2 linked regions of the Drosophila melanogaster genome follow. The protein of the gene in region 1 purifies or fractionates together with the protein of each later gene. This does not show direct contact. Each region holds a gene or a part of one and is shown on either strand. Other genes may lie near its edges.

Region 1 (3,200 bases):
GAATATGGACTTGTTGGTGGATATTTCGGTCTTGATGCCCTCAAGACTCAGATCCCACACCTTGAGTGTGTGATCCCAGCTGCCAGTTAGCAGAGTGGTAGCATCCATCCACTGCACGGCTGATACGCTCTCACGATGTCCCTGCAGCGTAATTTTGGGGGTCTGAAAGGAATTGTAAAGCTGATTACAAGTCTAATTATAAATGGCAAGACTACTCACTCTCACACCGCTCTCTTTCATCCGCTTTGAGCTGCCCTCGACTGCATCGTCCAGCTCTGCTGACCACACCTTCAACATCGTGTCCCAAGAGCCCGTGGCAAATCTCAGACCATCCGGACTCACGCTGACACTGTCGACGCCTCGCTCGTGGCCCTTGCACACGGAGACACATTCCACCGAGTTGGAGCCCACGTTCCACTGCCACAGCATGGCGGTCTGATCCTGCGATGTGGACACAAAACGTCCCGTCTCCTCGTCCAGCGATATCCAGTCCACCGCCTTGATGGGCGCCGTGTGACCAGAAATAGTGAGAATGTGCTTGCCTTTGTTGGTCCACAAATTCAGGGTGTTGTCGTAGCACCCGGAGAGGATCCACTTTCCTCTAGCCTTCACCGCGGACACCCAGTCGTCGTGCAGCAGGCAATCCTGTGGCTCTGGCGCCGGGAACCGCTCCACATACTCGATCTCGATGGCGTCCTCGAAACTGATGGCTTTCTCGCGCAGGTGATCGCACAGCCGGCCACGCAGGTACTCATCGAACACCAGGAAGTCGAAGTCCGTGTCGGAAGAGCCATCTTTTTGACGCAACAGTGCGTTCACGAATGTGTTTAGCTCCACGGTGGTGACGGTGCCATCGATGGCATAGGGCACATCAGGCACGGCATAGCTGAAATAGGGTATCTTGATTAAAATCTTCTACTGATAGAGATTCTAGATGGACACTCACTGCTCCTGCTTGGTCTTCAGGTGCACCTGCACCTGCCCCTCGCCGTTATCCACATCCATCTCCTGGCCCACGTGCGTTTCTTTTTGGCTGGATTGGGATTGGGGTGTTCCCGCGTGTGTTTGCTACGGTTATGACTTAACTCCTGCAGGTGGTACAAGGTGTTGACCACTAAACTAGAGGTTCTTCCTTCGGGAGATCGTTGTGTAAAATTAAATTGAAAAGAAGCGTGTTTTTAAACGAACGATGGTAAATGCAACAAATACATGCAAAAACACTAAAAAACGCCGAAGCGCATGCCGGAATAAGAGTTATCGCATTGCTATCGCTGTGCTCTTATCGAAATGCCTTATCGTCTTGTTATCACCCGTTACTACTAAGCGGAGTTTTTAAATTCAAATTTTTTGGTGCGTTAAAACTATGCATAATTATAATAGCTTGCTTAAGTGTAATTTGCCGATTACTTTAACAAATAAAAAGATATTAATAGAGTGTATGGTATTTCTAATCACTTTGATTTTGTTTCTCTAAAATATTACTCATCAAATTCGAAAAACCGCTGATTGCATAACCACTGCTTTGTCGTTTCTCCTTTTTTTTATTACAAAAAAATCTTACAGAGATACGAGCCAATTCGCAATACTGATAATTAAATATTTTTTGCAAGCAAATCAGGCGCAGATGATTTGCTGTAATTTAGCCACTAACTGCTTCTCTTCCTTTTGATCGTCTTACGCAAAATGGAAAAATAAGAAACCAAAAAATGCACAGCCGCGGCGGCAATTTGTAAATGACTCTTCAATCTTCAAAGACTGGTAATTGTTAATATTTTACGTTCAGGCTATTAATATGAACCAGATAGCACCTGAAAGACCACTTTGCGGCCGAGTGTTCACTGGAAGGTTAAATGCCACTTGACATTTCTGAAGTGGCGCTTAACCTTCGCATCAAAATTGGACAAATGCCCAAGAAAATAAAAAATTTCCAATAAAAAATGTATTCACCTTAATGGGTCGATGGGGATATTAAGCTGGGAAGTAATAACACTTTTTTTCGGTACTACTACTTTGTGCCACCATTTTGGCTTTACAAAAAACCAGAAACGAAGCGAAATGAAAGAGTTAAAGCTTTCCAGATTTTCGGGGCTTCCAGCGGCGCAGCTCAGCTTATAAAACGGGCATTGCGCCTGCGCAGCCGAAACATTACAACAAACGACGCGCGCAAGGTAAGACCATAACCAAATCCAGTCCGCATCGAGCGCCACTGAATCCGTGCATCTCTTGCAGTTGAATCCCCTCGAGAAAACCCACAAAATGAAAGTGTTCGCGCTGTGTTCGATGCTCGCCCTGCTCCTGGCTGGTGCCCAATCCCTGCCCCAGAATCGCGAGGGTGCCGCCTACACGAACGAGGCGATCCGGCAGGCGCAGCAGACGCTTCTCATCCCCAAGGATGCCCAGATCCAGAACGTGCAGGAGGGCATCGAGCTGGGCGCGTACGAGCAGATACCCGGCAACCAGCGCATCAATCTCTTCGAGATCCTCGGCGACCAGGTGCCCTCCGAGGTGATAAACAACCTGCAGTCCCAGGTCGACCAGATCGGTCGCAACTAAGTCGTAGGACCACTTCCTTGGTTAGCTCATTGCATTTCGTCCTCATTGTTAAGTTTCTCACTAATAAAACGAAAACATTACAAGTATTTAATCGCAGCGTTTATTTACCACCCAAAACAATTGGAAAAAAAAATCCGAAAAAAATATTAAAAGCGAAAGTGATCCTCCCCGAAAACCAGTTGGTTCCTCTGCAAACGAACTCTCGAATCGAAACGAGTGATTTATTGGTTTGATTTGTGGCTTTTTCCTAACGATCTTCGCCGACTTTCTCCTCGCTGATCCCGCTGCGCATACGAATTAACAATAAAAGTCGGCACATTGCTATCGCATGGCATGGTATCCTATCCTCAACCTTGTTACGTAACCCGGGGATGGGAATGGCGATGGAGTCGCTGGTAACCCGAGTGGTTGCCCCGCCGGCAACTTTTGTGCTGCGGTCGTGATGCAACAGTTGTCGTCGTGATTGTTTTCCTCGGACTTTTATTTATTTTTTTTTGTATTTTGTATTTTGTTGCTTTTTGCTGGGCTTCGGTTTGTTTATTTAATTTCTGGTAATTGCCGCCACATGCACTTGCATGTGTAATGAGTTGTACGTGGAGGGGGCGTGGCATGCCCGCAGGTACAGAGGGGCTGCTTGCATAACATCT
Region 2 (3,931 bases), on another chromosome or scaffold:
CCACAAACATTCAATTTGTCAAGTTGTTAAATTTTAGCAGCTTTTCAGCTGTGCCCCGCCCACTTTCCCAAGAGCGCCCACTTTCTTTGCTCTCGCCCATTGTTGAATGCTGTGCATTTTGCATTTTAAATACAATATAAATTAAGTTGGCAGCTTCTGGCATTGAGAACAGTTTTCGGCAAAGCTGCTGAATGAATGAATGGCAGCCCTTTTATCAAGATTCTCAAGTTAATTTTGCTGAAGGATAAGAAGTTCGGGGAAAATGGGCGGGGAAATCGAGGAAAAACTGACATTGAAGACGAATTGTTCGCTCGGAATGAAGTGGAATTTTATTCCGGTGGGTGGAAAACTTTCCTTGACGATTGAATAAAACGCTGAACTGTTGGGAGAACTCAAAAGCACAATACTATTTTAAAATAGTATTACCAAAGATGTTGGATACCATAAATGAGTTAAGCACAAACTCCATTTGTTTATAAAAATATAATGTGCAAATATGATTTCCAATTTATTTATCCATAAATAATGAAAACATTTAAACATAATATTTGAATCTTATAAATTGTCTCTTTAAATATTAAGTTCGTAAATATATTTGAACGATCATTTACAAAATTAATTTTCTTCGTATAGTTTTGGAGTCACACAAAACATCGGCGAGAAATTTCTCGCATGCGATAAACAGTAAATATTGCACTGCTTGAAGCAGTGCTTCGCAAACTTGCGGCGCCTCTCAAACTGCTATTGTTGTGCTCTCTCCCTGAAAATTTTCTCTCTTTGAATTTTCCATTCTGTTTTTCATTTGCGGACCTGCGCTTTTCATTTGCCGGCATTTCTGGAGCAACAACAAAATTCCAGCGCTGAGTTTTCCCCCTGCCATGCCCCCCTTTTCGTATTTATATATTTAGCTCTCATTAAATATTTTCAACTAGAGCGAAAGATACTTCCGTTTCCTGTTTTATAAAAATAGTACTTGCCATATATAAATATACATATTTACTATGTATATAAATATTTGTAACTATATATGAGGTAAATACTTACTTGACTTAATATAACTAACTAGAAAATAATTCAAACTCCTTATCAAATTCAAAGTAAAATTTGGGAAAATCTACCATTTAGTTCTTCTATATATTATTATATATAAGATTATACTAAAAGTTCACTTTTCCGAGCGCTCACTGTAGGGTGTTTTTGTAGTGGGCCTAAAAATAGGAGACGCCACCACTCGTGAAAATTCTTGAAGAGCAGTTTGGGAAATTCCTTACCGAAAAGTTATATATGGCCGAAAAGAGATTTGCCTTGCGCCATTGTTTAGTGAATTGAATTTTGGTTCAGTGTGTATTTGTTTTTGGAAAAACAAGGTGAAATTGCTTTTGAAGTGCGGTTGCTTCTTGTTTTTCTTTCGCTTCCCTCGAAAAGATTTTCATTTGCCGATTGCCTCATTGGATTTTGAGGTATTAAAGTTTTCGAGAGGGGAATTAGTATCGCATTATTTGGATGTTTCTGGTGCGGAATGCAAATTGATTTTCAATAGTTTTTCGACATTTTCCAGCTCGCCAGAGGAGGCGGCTTTCCACCCAAATTGGCAATTATCATCGGGTGGCGGAATTTGTGGGTGCGAAATGCAAATCAATGGGCAAATCTAATTCAATTTGAGTTCCTATAATCAACTGCTGTGAATGTGAAATGAAAGGCAGACGAAGTTCACTCGTCACTTGATTCAACGTCGTTTATTAATTTGATTTATATGACTTAATGATTAACCAAATATTTATCATATTGAAAAAGATTGACCATTTCGATTAAAAACAAAGATACAACTATATTATCTTTGTAATAATATTTCGATGCTGTTTATATAGCCACGTGTAAATACGATATGTTATCAAGAAATTTATTAATAGATATAAAATCGAGTTTGGCGCCAAATTAAATTTTGAATTTCCAGCCGCTCTCTTCTCGAGTGTGACCGCGCTGCCGACAAATGCCGCGAAACGGTGCAAATTCGGCCTTATCGGCCGCTAAGCAGCTGGCCACACTGCGGCATATAAACAATTTTTTGTCACAATTTTTTTGAGAGCAGACGAACGCACATCGAACGCCAATTGGGGATCGTAAAGTCGGAAAAACAGCGTCGCGCTCGCTTCGAAATAGAAAAAAAACACAATAAACATTAGGTCAAAATCGCATTGGCAATCTTTTAAGTTTCGATTTGATTTAATTTCGCGGTGCAAAGCGAAAGAGAATTTTGAAACGTTTGATTTTTGTTGTTTCGCCGCTCTCTTCGTTGTTGTTCTTTTTGTTGTTTTTTCCGGCGCGTCGTTTGGCGTTTTTAGTGTATGCGTGCGTGTGTGTGCGTAACTACGTGCAGCTGTGTGCGTGCTTCAGTTTGATTTAAATAAATTATTAGTGAAAAGCAGCTGAGAAGAGTAAAGAATACGAAAAAGTGCAAGTAAACGCAATAAAAATATTGCACATTAAATAATCAACAAGTGTAAGTGCAAAGCAAGTGATGTGCAAAATGCAAGAGCAGAGAAAAGAAAATAAAAGCAGAGAAAATGCAGAAAGGAAAATTGTTGTAACTTTTTAACAGCCCAATATCGAATTTAAGTGGCTATTAAAAATCGAAGATCGAGGCAAAGTGCAAAAGGCAACAAAACTACGAAAGCGCCCAAAAGGAAAATCCGGTTTTACAACTTCTCTCTTCACACACTAAACACACACATACAAAACACTCACACTCACACCAGCGAACAATCGAATTCTCTCTGAGAAACTAAAACTAAAATTCCTTTGCTGGGTTTTAATGAATTTTCTATGGGAATTTCACCAGCTAACGAGCAGCTAAAAAAATAATAATCGTAGATAAACAAATAGTGTGAATGAAAAATCAGCTGCGACAGGTGATGCAAAACAAAATACGCAAGGTGCAAAGAAAAAAAATACTTTCATGTGAATTCGATCACAGTGAACGCTCAGTAAAGAAGGAAGCTATTATCTGATCATATCATTATATTATTTAATTTAGAAAACAACTTTTAAAAATTACTTTAGATAATTAACTCATATGCTCATATCATTTGAAGTGCTAGAAAGTTTAAATAAATAGTTATCCATTTTAAAGCTCCACTGTATCTCAAGTATTTAAAAAACCATCCAGAAAAGTGAAATCAATAACAAAAGAATTTGAAAAAAGCGGAAAGAGCGGTCATAAAAATAGTATAAACAGAAAATAACAATAAACCAGTCAAAAAAATAAGCAGTTACCTGTCTCACTCTCTCTTTCCTTAATTCAAACATTTGCGTAAACAATAACCGCTTTACAGTAATTTCGGGCACCTGCTTTTTGTTTACACAAATGCATAAATATGTTGAATATGAATAAATTAATTCATTCAGCGTGTACGGGGCACGCTGCCTCGCTAAATGGAATTTTCACACGAAAAGTGGGAAATATGTGAAGAAAATATAGCGCCAACTTGTGTTATCTTATCCGTAACACAATTTTAATGATGGTGCAATTGAAAAAAATAGCAGAGAAATGTGCTACAATTGCTTCCTTATCAAAAAAGGTATTACCTGCCGGAAAGAGATAGTGGTAGTAGTGATAGGCGGGGAAAGAAAGAGATGGGTGTACGGTGTAGGAAATTACATATTTCATTATTTCCTCGCCCGATTTTTCCGACCAAATATTTTTATCTACTTACAATGTTGTCTAGACAGATTCCTTCGCTTTTCTTCCGTTTTTTTGTTGTGCCACCCATTTGTATATGTATGTACATAGATGTGTATAGGAAAAGTCTGGTAGTGGTGTGTATACTGCGAGATTTCGCACCCTCTCCTAGGATTTTCCTCTGCCGCCGCCTTTACTGCTTTTTGTTGTGCTCCAGACTTCAGTTTACTCCACTTTGCGACGACTTTCGAC

Evidence for each region.
Region 2: the proteins of CG17127 (region 1) and CG32264 purify together in Drosophila melanogaster (affinity purification with mass spectrometry, with the first as the bait; one large-scale study listed by BioGRID). This does not show direct contact.

Annotation. Positions count from the first base shown.
Region 1 is NT_033779.5:10,768,729-10,771,928, forward strand, and holds CG17127 (uncharacterized protein), read left to right. Parts: upstream 1-2,139; 5' UTR 2,140-2,168; intron 2,169-2,202; exon of another isoform or gene 2,203-2,229; 5' UTR 2,230-2,256; coding exon 2,257-2,553; 3' UTR 2,554-2,642; downstream 2,643-3,200. Other genes in the region: CG6724 (uncharacterized protein), read right to left, coding at 1-162, 220-886, 947-1,005.
Region 2 is NT_037436.4:3,786,126-3,790,056, reverse strand, and holds the start of CG32264 (uncharacterized protein), read left to right. Parts: upstream 1-2,096; 5' UTR 2,097-2,500; intron 2,501-3,931.